Linked DNA regions of Elephas maximus indicus. The protein of the gene in region 2 purifies or fractionates together with the protein of the main gene of each other region. This does not show direct contact. Links are inferred from orthologs where the notes say so. Each region holds a gene or a part of one and is shown on either strand. Other genes may lie near its edges.

Region 1 (3,745 bases), on a different chromosome or scaffold from region 2:
CAGTGGAGGACTGCATGTTGCTATGAAGCTCCACAAGTTTCAGCGGAGATTCCAGAGTAAGGCAGACTAGAAAGGCCTGGTGATCTACTTATGAAAAATCAGCCAGCGAAGACCCTATGGATCACAACTGTCTGAGCCCCAACAGATCATGGGGATGGCAGAGGATTGGGCAACGGATAGCGTATCCTTCTCCACACCATAGCAGCTAACAACATCATTTATTGCAGGCAGTTTGCCAAAGTGCTTTTCATTTCACTTGATGCATTTGTATGTGCTGTAGTCTGAGATGTCTTTCCTTTTACTCTTTTAGAGCCAGATTAGTAATCCTCTTCTCTGTGAGGCTTCCCTGAGGCATCCTGAGGAAGTTGTCTGAACTGCATTCTTCCGCTATCCAGCACTTGGGGTTGAACTGTAATGATCAGTTTGAGTGTCTGTCTCCCCAATTTGGTTGTAGCTCTTGCATGCATTTTTTGGTCCTCTGTACCTAGCACAGCCTCCTGCTTTTTCTAAGCATCTTACATTAACTCTTAAAAGAACAATGAACAGCGAAAGTTTGATGTACTGCGTAAAACTCCACCTTGGATTTATTAATACTAACACATGAACTCCACAGTATAGAATATTTCCACGTTTCGTTTCGTCATTACTACATTTTCGTCAGGTTAGGCATTATCAGTGCATTCGTAGTTGAGGCCACTTGCTCGTCAAGTGCCAAAAACTAGCTTGAAGGCTAGTTTTTTGACACTGGGCCTGGGCCTTCTTTCCACTGTACTGGTGGCGCAGCGGTTAAGACCTACAGCTGCTAACCAAAAAGTCACCAGTTTGAATCCACCAGCCACTCCTTGGAACCTGCCATATGGGGTCGCTATGAGTCCGAATCGACTGGATGGAAACGGGTTTGGTTTTGGTTTGGTAGCTATCAGAAGAGAGAGCGACTCCTTAAAGGATGGACAGCTTTTGAATAACCGTAGTTTGGGAAGAAGAAAAGGCACCTTGGGCCAGAGGAGGGGTGGCGCACGGCTTGAACGGAGTTCAAGAAAGCGACAATTAGCAAGCATTATAAACAACAAAGGACGATAGGAACCTCAGCTCGGCCTCCTTCCGCTATTTTGCCAGTCAAAAACCCTTACATATCTCCAGGTTTTGCTTCTAGCTCTGAATCGCCCCGCCTCTGCCCGTTAATCTATATTTCCTCCTTCCCTTCGCTCAACTTCAGCGCCAGCCTCTGGGCCACTCTCAGACCACCAGCAATCCCCCAGAAGCTCCTATTGGCTCGTTCACCCTTTCAGTCCTGTCTTCTCCCGGCAGAGGCCCCGCCCCTTCACGCTAAGATTCCGTTTTCGTCCCCCCCGGCGCACGAGGCGTAGGCGGACAAGCCCGGCCGTACCGCTCCGGGGCAGTAGAGCCGCAGGAAGTGGCCTCTCTTTCCCAGAGCCCCATTGGCTTGTGGGATAGCGGCGAATTTGTCCAGCCTTGACCGGTTTTCCGGATCCCTCCACCCCGCCTCCGGTGGTGAGTACGGAAGCTGCGAGGGCCCGTGGGCAACCATGGCGGCGCACCTTAAGAAGCGAGTGTACGAAGAATTCACTAAGGTGGTTCAGGTAAGCGTCGGCATCAAAGTTCCCAGGACACTTCCGCGGCGGGGACGGTTATCCAGGCTCCAGGCACTTTGCCAGAACAGGCGCCAACCAGTGTTGAGCGCTTACTCTATCGTAGGGTTTCTGAGAGTACACGTTAGTGGGCGTGTTAGTTTGCCTGTACTGTTGTCATTAATAGCCTGACGCAATTTTTCTTATTATTAGAATAAATAAATGACACTTTACATTTTACGAACTTTGTTTCATCCGTTATCTCATTTTGTTTTCTCACACAACTTGTTAGATCGGGTTACATTATCCTAGTTTCACAGATGTTGTTATTGAGGCTTCCGGAGGGGTACGAAGACACAGTGCCTACTAGTCCAATTCCCAACTTCTCCAAAAAAACCTCCAGGGGCAAGGTGGCAGTTTGCAAAGTTATAAGCGGCCGCGAGAGAAAAAACCTGGCGATCAGCTCCCGTAAATATTTCAGCCTAGAAAACCCTGCGGGACAGTTCTACTCTGTAATAGGGTTACTATGCGTCGGAATCGACTTGATTGCACTCAACAAGAACACAAGGGACTTGAAGAAGAGTCTATAGAGGTCTTCAAGGCCCACGTGTCAAAGCAGGCAGAACGCTCCATTTGTGGAACAGCTGCCCTACGAAGGAGGGTGATCTTGTGTCTTTGAAGCTGTTTAAGAAAGGTGGGTTTAGCTCCCGTTTAGCAGCCGTTGATGCTCTACATGTCTCCATTTAGCTGTCGGTGAAGTAGAGGCTGATCTCAAATCATCCGTTGGGAAGTTCTTCACAAACTTTGTTGTGTATACAAATTACCCGAGGATATTGTTAATATGTCAGTTCTACTCAATATGTCCGTCAGGCTGAGGGAGGGGAAGGGAGGCAATATTCTGCATTTCCTACAAGTTCCCAATTGATGTCAATGCTTCGGATCCTTAACCATCCTTAGAGTTTCAGACTTGTGGAGTAGCAAGGCCTAGATGATCCAGTAGGAAGCTGATCCTTAAACATTTCATTCATTCATTCAACAAGAATTTATTGAGTCGATGAGGGATTACTATGTGCCAGGCGTTGTGAAAAGTGTTGGTCTACAAAGTCCAGTACACATCAGGGTCTCTGCTGTTAAGGAACTCACAGGCTAATGGGAGAGACAGGAGAACATATCTGTAATTGTAATACAGAGAGACAATTGCATTGACAAATCAAATGTTTCTTCCTTTCTCTTTTGCATCACCATCTTTTTGTAAAACCAAACTTCTTAGCCCTTTGCAGTCTGACAGTATTCCTTCCAGTTTAATCACTTGTCACTTTCTTTTTTCCCAACACTGTTGTTCCCACTTCCCAAGACTATTCTCCAAGACTTCCCCAGTGTGCCTTGTGTTTGCATATCTCCAAACTTTTGTATTTGTTCTGTTGCAAAGAATGCATACCATTTGTCCATCTTTTTTGTTCCTCACCCAATTCAATTTTATACTTTTGCTTCAAGATCCAATGGAAACTTTAGTGATAGTTTTAGTCTTTTTCTTCTGCTTCTATAGGACTCTATTGCACTTATCTATTTGTACTTATTGCTCAGTACTGCAGTGACCAGTGTGTATACTCCCAGCATTCTGGGCTCCTTGATGGCAGAGATGACATCTGGGTTCATCTTTGTCACCTGAATGGACCACAGGGCCTGGCTCACTAAAACGTTATTATTGATATCTGAATGATATCAGTTCGTCCTCCCCATTAGATAGTTTCTTAGGGAAAAATCTTCCCCAAGTTTTGTCTTAACTGCAGCCGAGATAACACTAAAGACTGGATTTGTGTAGAATAAGCTGGGAATGGATAAGGGTTTTAAAGCAAGCAGTTTTTCACTTTAATCTGCATGAGTGGTTTAGTGATGAAATGAGATCTTAGCCTTTCTGTTCTTTTTTCTCTGCTGTGAGGAGAGAGAAGTGATATGTATCTTGTGTTTATTATGCGTATGTACAGTAAAACCAAACCCAAATCAAGTTGATTCTGATCTGTGTTTTCAGTTAGGTCTTCATGTCTTATCTTCCCTTCTTCTTTACAGCAACAGCAAGAAGAAATTGCTGCCAAGAAACTCCGACTAACAAAACCAAGTAAATCTGCAGCACTCCACATAGATCTGTGTAAGGCTAC
Region 2 (3,745 bases):
CCACTGGGACACGGTCAGGACCGGTGTGTCCCTCTAGAAAGGAGGCCAGGCAGGCAGCGGCTGGGGTCTCTCATTACCGGGGAAACTGGAGTCGGAGGAGGAGGCACACCTGGAGCAGGCGACAACAGGAAAGGCCGTGCGAGAGCGAGAGAAGCCCCAAGCCTTAGCCTCCATCACTGCGCCCAACGAGTGCCCGGGCCCAGGGACAGGTGTGTGGCGGAAGTCAGGTGCTTTCCGCAGGTACACTCTCCTCCGCCCACGTGTGACCTAATTACAAGGGGTGAGCCGCGCCCAGGGGCGGGGTGGTCACTCCAACCAGGGTGCCAGTGAGTGGGTGCCCTGTCCCTGCCCCCAGAGATGTGTGAATCCCACGCAATTCCAGTGCTGTTGAACCATGGAGGAGCCATGGGGTCGCCTTCTCGTTTCCATGATCTGGATCCCAATCCCCAGGTGAAGAACTAACACGTTTTACCAGGCCTCCCCAAGTGAAAAGTCTCAGCTAGGAAGCCCCCTTCTACGAGGACTGCGCCTGCGCGAAGCTCGCGCGGGCGTCTCGTAGGGCGTAGCGTTCGGAGATAATCCCGATTCACAGCTGCAGGCACAGCGCTTGCGCGGATTCGGTTTTTTTTTATCCCACCACCCCGCGAGCCTTCCCTTCTGGGAGACCACGCCCTAAAAGAGAAGGTGCGTCAGTTACTAGCCGGCTAGAATGCGCCTGCGCGTTGGCTCCTAGTTTCCGTCCCCTCTGACTCGGTTCTTGCGGTAGACCAGGATCTGATCTGCAGTTGCGCCGCTCGTGTCCCGGCGCTTTTTTTCTTCCGCACCCGCCGCCTTCTGACGCCGGGCGTGACGTCACCACGCCGGGCGGCCGCCATTACAGAGAGCCGAGCTCCGGAGCTAGAGCCAGCGGAGGAGGAGCAGCGGCCGGTGGCCGAGCATTGCGGGGCCACCCAGTGGGCCAGCGCTAGCGCCGAGCAACCGCCAGTAGCCACAGTAGTACTCCGGCAACCGGCGGCGGCGTGTGCGTGTGGCCCGTGTGCGGGCGGCGGCGCGGGAGTAGGGCGGAGAGGCAGCCGGTTCGGGCGGGTGGCATCATGGACGAGAAGGTGTTCACCAAGGAGCTAGACCAGTGGATCGAGCAGCTGAACGAGTGCAAGCAGCTGTCCGAGTCCCAGGTCAAGAGCCTCTGCGAGAAGGTGAGCTGCACTCCAGCTGCGGGTGCTGCCGCGGGGCCGATCTTGCCAAGAAGGGGTGCCTGTGGGGAGGGTGCAACATGGCGGAGGCCGCCGGCCAGAGCCCCCCGAGCCTCCCAGTCCGGCGCCCGGCGCGGCCCGGCGGCGGCTCCCGAGCGACCCGGCGCCCCCTGTCTCTCGCTGAAGGATTGGTTGTCGCCGCCGCCGCCTAAAATGGCGCCGTTCCCCCGACTCAGGGGGTTCTGAGGCTCCGGCCCTCGGCGCCGGGCGGGGTGGCAGGGGGAGCGGAGACCCTGTATATCAGGGTCAGGGACGGTGTTGAGATTCAGGTAAAGGGACTTGGGTTCTGCAGCCCGGGAATGGGGCCTAGGCCTCCACTGTGAGGTGGGTAAGCTGCTTTTTACTTGTGTTCAGGCATAATTTTTAGATTCAGCGTTGTGCAGAGAGTCCCCAAAGGCAAGCAAGTAGGCCAGATCCCAGAACCTGTCTAAAGGTCATAGAGCTTTAGCACTATCCTGGGTGGTTTGTATTAAACATCTTATACATAAGTCTCTAACCCAGTTTCTGCGAAGGTCACGGTAGTTATGAGGAGGAGTAACTAATTCTTCATAGTTGGAAAAAATGGAGAATTTGGTGAGTCACACTGCATAAGGAGCTATTGAATTGGAAATCAAGTGTCGGCTTAATTTATGATTTATACGCTGATTCAAATTGGGTAGTGTGAACCCTTTCCTAAGCTGAACATACTTGCTGTTTTGCCATTTGTTTTTTAAAATGATGAACTGGAAGGACGGCAAGTTTTATATCCTGGGTCTTTTTTGAAAAAGTTACTTAATTGTATTTCTGTGGCTGCAAGTAGTAGTAGTAGTAATGATAGCTGTTGATAGAGTTCATTCCAGACAGTGTATTGCAGACACTGCTTAGTGTGTAAATAAATAATTTCACAGATGTTGAAAGTGAAATGTCATAGCCCACTTAATAACGCTAAACTTTAATTTTGTACTAATTCTAGTTTTTCCTTGGGTGTTGGTGAAACAGGTAGCTTAATAGATTATCTATTACTTGTTCAGCTGTGTTGTATTTCTTAGAACCCCGTTTTCTAATGTATAGAAAATGCTGATCTCTATGAACATTTTAACTTCCCTTTTCAAAATTACCTTTGCAGCATTTCATTTTAATATAAAATAGTGCGATATCATGTTAGTATGTTGTGTTAGTGAAAAGAGTTACAGGAGAGCTGTTACGCTGACTCGTTTGTGGTTTAATGTGAAAATCAGGATTATGAATTTGATGCATATGCTCCCGAGACGGACTTTTTAAGAAGCTGCTGTGAATAATAGGAATTTAAGTGAGTCAAATTCAGATTTATTTATCCCAAGTCTGGGCAAAACTCCACTACCAGTTGATGAGGTGGCACATCATCTATTGGAGCTGAATTTTAATGGATAGCAGTGTACTGAATCTTTTCTTTCTTGACCCTTAATTTTAAAGTTCTTCAATTAGATAAGGTTGGTATGTATTTCAAAGGTTTAAAGATTAGGCTGTTAAAAACTTAGAATATATTGCCAAGGGCTTAATTTCTAGGTACTATAAATAATCATTTTATGGAGTTTTAGGGTTCAGTACTTGCTCTGTATAAAGACTTTGCTAGACGACTAGTCATTTGTGTAGAAAACATTGGAGAGAGGTAATGATGTAATTGAAAGGCCACTGAGCTGCGAGTTAGACCTGGATACTAGTCCTGTTTCTGCCACAGAATTAGTAGTTGTGACTGAACTTGGAGCAATTACATCACTTGGTCCTCATTTTCCTTTGTATAAGGAGTTAAAACAAATGTTCTAAGGTCACTTCTAATCTTGCAAGATTATACAATTTCATCATAAATTAGTACTTTGTGTTTAAGTATTGGAGATCTGTTGACTATCCAGGATTGCTTACTCTTATGCGGGGAGTGAAAAGCAACAAAGAATAACAAAGCCTGTTTTCAAGGAGCTTTGAATTCAGTTGGAGAGACAAGCATGGCATGGTAGTCAGTAAGGAGGTGGACTGTGGAAGTAGAGAGTTTGTGTTGGAGACTAAAGTGGGGTGGTAAATGTTGTTTTCCACATCTTTGTAAAACTAAGGTATAGTGAGGCTAATCACTTATTCTCAGATCTGCATTGCTCAGTCAGCATGTTTAGGTTTGAGTTCTGACAGCCAAAAAGATGAACGTAGTATTTGAAGTTAGGTATTACATAAAGGTTCCAATGGAATGGATCCTTTTTGTGGGGGAGTATCATAACATAGTTGTCATTCTGATGTTAGCTTGTAAATACACCAAATTTTTTGGAACTATATTAACCTTCCAAAGTAAATTATTTGAAGACAGCTTTTTAGATATGTGGGATGTGTTAGGATGCATGACTTGAAATGGTCTTCTCTGTAATCTAGTGAAACAAAAGTTCTCTTTTCACTGTTAGTATTTGTATGTCCAGTAGCACCACTGAGTGAAAACTATATGATACTCTTCGATGTGGTGGCTTCTGAGTAGAAATTGTACAAATTTTTGAGAG
Region 3 (3,745 bases), on a different chromosome or scaffold from region 2:
TGTGACCTTGATTCTATTTTGAAACCCAGTTCAAATGCAACTTCTTCCAGGAAGTCTTATATCTTTTCTCATGTTCCCATCCCATCCCTCAAGTCCTCAGTGGTGCACCTCCTTATACAAAGTACCAGCCATTCATGTTGACCTGGCCTTGAGACCCTCGGAGTCCAAGGCTCTGGCCCCTGAGGACTGAGATAGGGGGTGGAGCCGGTGCCCTCTTGAACCTAGGCTGGGCGGTGGGGACTTGACCCTCTCCCCTTTCGATGATAGGCTCCTCCCTGTCATCCTGGGCCTTGGGGTCCTCACCTGGTCATGGAAGGCCTGTACACCCCAGGGATGTGGGAGAGGCTTCCCCTCCTGAGCCTGGGAGATGGGCCAGGAGACAGAGCATGGGCTCCCATTTGACAGAGGAGTACACTGAGCCCAGATGGATGAAGCCTGCTGAAGATTCTGATTTAAGGGGTGGCTGGCAGGTACAGTGGCAGAGGGGGCAGACTCTGAAAAGGCCCCAGCCCCTCCCTGACCTCACTGCTCCATCTCGTTGCCCACTCCTGATGCTCAGCTGAGGCCTAGTTCTTCCAGGCAGAACTTCAGGGTGGAGATTTCACAGGTAGTGCAGAGGGCTGGCGCCCAGGCTCCTAGGACTGCAGTCCAGAACTTCTGGCTGGAATGCTAAACTCTTGGAGCCCCACCTGGACCTGGACCCCCCCACCTCCGCGCCTGCAGCAGGATTTTGAACCAGGAACCCCAGTAGCGCATTTTAGGGACTAGAGGGACTGGGAGATTCGTCCAAAGAGGCCTGCCTGCCTGGGGTGGCGTGGCAGCGCCAGGAGGACGCCTTCTCTCGTGCTTTACCACTCCAGGCCTGGCCCTTTAAACCTGAGACTATGATGTCACCGTAGCCAACAAGGGACGGGTGGGGGACTGCAGACTTGAGGATGGACTGCATCTCCCAGCAGCCTCTGGTGAACCACACCCCTCCCAGCAGGCCCTGACTCGCCGCAGACTATTAACCCGTCCAGTGCCGGTTCTCCACCGGCCTCTGAAGTGTCCAGCTATTCTGCGGTGAAGGTGCGGGCGGGGTTCCCATAGCGGTCGCGTGCGGGGGGGAGTGGATCAGCGCAATCCTTGGGCCTGGCATAGCACGCTGGCCCGTTTCCTGCCAGTGTGCTGGCATCTCCCCCAGCTTCCTGGTGCAAACTCTTGAGTCCTACTCATTCTCCATGCAGACTCCCTTCCAGAAGCCAGGGGTCCAGCCCCAGCGAGGCCTGCAGCCCACGCTGCTTTCCGGCTTCCAGAGTTGGAGCCAGCCTTCCTCCCGAGTCCGGAGTCCGCATGCAGGGTTTTCGCCCTGGCGTCTGGTCTCCCCCTTTAAGCGGCGCGGGGACTACATCTCCCAGAGGCCCCCGGGCCCGTCTGACGCAGCCCCCGCCCCCCGCCCGCGGGGCGGTGGGGGCCGGGCGGGGGGAGGTGACTTGATGTCATCCTGAGCAGCTGGGCGCGGGTGCCGGTGCGCACTGAGCTGGGCTTCGCTGCGCCGCGCCGGGTCCGAGTCCCGGACTCTAGATAGAGGTCCGCGCGCTGCTAGGGCAGCCAGGAGCCCGCCGTGAGCCCACGCCCCGGCCCGGGGCTGAGCTGGGAGGATGCTTCAGCCCCCTGAAGCCCGCGGGAGAACCTAGGAGCTCCGCCGCCTAGCCCCAGCGCCCTGAGCGGCGTCGCTGCCTCCCACCCCCACGGGCAGCCCCTGGAGGTTGGGGACCAAAGTCTGGGTTTCTGAGAAGTGAGTGTTCCTCCCCGCAAGGGGCCGACGAGGCTTTGGGGACAAGGAAGGAGGAGCTGAGGTGGGGAAGGGTGCCCGGGTTCCAGAGAGGGGTGGCATGGGGAAGAGGCCTCCACTCTGGGGAGTCAGTGGTGGCCCCATTAGAAGAGTTAGCTGCAGGGCCAGGGGTTCCATTCTGTAAGGAGCAGGGATGAGGATTGTGTGGCCATTCGGAAGAGGGTCTGGCTTCGGGTATCAGGGTTGTTTTGGAGCCAGGGGCCTTTGGTCTGGAAGGGAGACCATGGGAGAGCAGTGCACTCCTATTTTAGGGTCTCGGCCAGGGTAGGAGAGAAAAAGAGACTTGGCACTCAACTGCAGTCTCCCAACACTGTCTTTCCCAAAAGAAGAGACAGACTAGCTCTCTCTGTGTCTCTTTCTTGCCCACTTTTCTGCCTTGACTTCATTTCAAAAGAGCCAAGTGGAAACCCTAAGTGGACTCTGGGATTCCCAGGAAGGACCTGAGGTCTGAGACATCCTTGCCTCTAGCCTGCCTGCCCCCCAGGACTGGACAGCTGCCAGAGGCCCTGGGGGGGGGCCCAGGACTGTGGTCGTGTCCCCCCCCCCCCCCCCCGCCCCATGCTCCGACAGGATGGGCCCAAGTTAGTAAGCCCAGCCTCACTCAGTGATCTCCAGGCTCTGAAGCACCCCTCAGGGTTCTGAAGGCTTGACTGCTGCCTGGCCACCATGGAGACGAAGCTGCCCCCTGCGAGCACCCCCACCAGCCCCTCGTCCCCGGGGCTGTCGCCTGTGCCCCCACCCGACAAGGTGGATGGCTTCTCGCGCCGCTCCCTGCGCAGGGCCCGGCCCAGGCGCTCCCACAGCTCTTCTCAGTTCCGCTATCAGAGCAACCAGCAAGAGCTCACGCCACTGCCCCTGCTCAAAGGTGAGCTGGCCACTGTGCAGGTCCCCTGAGCCTCAAGGGGGGTGACCAAGGCTGCCAGGGCCCCTTCCAGCCCTGAGACTCCACTGACCCTGCAGTCCTCTTTGCTGACGCATGGCCTGACTGGCCTGTCATCCTTGGGGGTGGGGCATCTGCCTGTGGCACCACCCTGGGGGGCAGATCCAGGCCAAGGGTGGGGCTGCAGCCTGGGTTCTAGGAGGCTACTAGCAGCCCAGCCAGCTTCTGGGGCCCTGGAGCCTGTGTGTGACCTGGCCTCTTGCTGTCACTGTAGTCTCCGCATGCCAGGTCACAAGGTCCAACTGGCTGAGCCAGAGGGTATCCGAGGGATCCTCTGGCCTGAGCCCCCTTCCACTTCTGGCTGGTAGAACAGGGTGCCACATATGAGAGGAAGGCAGGCCCCCAGGTCTGTCTGTGGTCTTGCTCGGAAGCAGACCAGCATCTTGCCTGGGTTAGGAAGTTGTGAAGAGGAAGCTGCCCCTCACCTCCCCCACACCCTGGAGTGGAGGGTGAGACAAGGGCTGTTTGCTTTCTGCGGGGGTCAGAGTGGCCCTAGCGGTGGGAGGACCCCCTTACCCAGAGCTGCGCAGCTAGGGCCTTGGCTTAGCACCCCTCGCTCCCCAGATGTGCCGGCCTCGGAGCTGCACGAGTTGCTCAGCCGCAAGCTGGCCCAGTGCGGGGTGGTGTTTGACTTCCTGGACTGTGTGGCTGACCTGAAGGGAAAGGAGGTAAAGCGGGCGGCCCTCAACGAGCTGGTGGAGTGCGTGGGGAGCACACGGGGCGTCCTCATCGAGCCTGTGTACCCAGACATCATCCGCATGGTGAGCACGGGCATCAGGCTGCGGGGGGCATGCGCCACCCAGCCTCTGGGGGGCTCAGGGGCGTGGGAGTCCTGGTTCCCCGTGCAGGGAATAAACCCTACATTCTTCACTTGGCTGCACAGCCCCCATCTTCCGTCCCCTCCTGAGCCCCACTGCCACCCTGCACCTGGCCACTCAGTGCCTCCCAGGCCTGTCGCATCTCCACCCCTT

Evidence for each region.
Region 1: the proteins of PPP2CA (region 2) and INTS4 purify together in Homo sapiens (affinity purification with mass spectrometry; 3 studies listed by BioGRID and IntAct, with this or other methods). This does not show direct contact. The link is inferred for Elephas maximus indicus from reciprocal best matches to the Homo sapiens genes PPP2CA and INTS4.
Region 3: the proteins of PPP2CA (region 2) and PPP2R5B purify together in Homo sapiens (co-immunoprecipitation; 9 studies listed by BioGRID and IntAct, with this or other methods). This does not show direct contact. The link is inferred for Elephas maximus indicus from reciprocal best matches to the Homo sapiens genes PPP2CA and PPP2R5B.

The regions. Positions count from the first base shown.
Region 1 is NC_064825.1:44,099,299-44,103,043, forward strand, and holds the start of INTS4 (integrator complex subunit 4), read left to right. Parts: upstream 1-1,414; 5' UTR 1,415-1,547; coding exon 1,548-1,601; intron 1,602-3,656; coding exon 3,657-3,745. UniProt on the Homo sapiens protein: Component of the integrator complex, a multiprotein complex that terminates RNA polymerase II (Pol II) transcription in the promoter-proximal region of genes.
Region 2 is NC_064820.1:146,616,374-146,620,118, reverse strand, and holds the start of PPP2CA (serine/threonine-protein phosphatase 2A catalytic subunit alpha isoform), read left to right. Parts: upstream 1-745; 5' UTR 746-1,094; coding exon 1,095-1,196; intron 1,197-3,745. UniProt on the Homo sapiens protein: Catalytic subunit of protein phosphatase 2A (PP2A), a serine/threonine phosphatase involved in the regulation of a wide variety of enzymes, signal transduction pathways, and cellular events.
Region 3 is NC_064825.1:128,089,438-128,093,182, forward strand, and holds the start of PPP2R5B (serine/threonine-protein phosphatase 2A 56 kDa regulatory subunit beta isoform), read left to right. Parts: upstream 1-1,453; 5' UTR 1,454-1,777; intron 1,778-2,228; 5' UTR 2,229-2,500; coding exon 2,501-2,699; intron 2,700-3,338; coding exon 3,339-3,535; intron 3,536-3,745. UniProt on the Homo sapiens protein: As the regulatory component of the serine/threonine-protein phosphatase 2A (PP2A) holoenzyme, modulates substrate specificity, subcellular localization, and responsiveness to phosphorylation.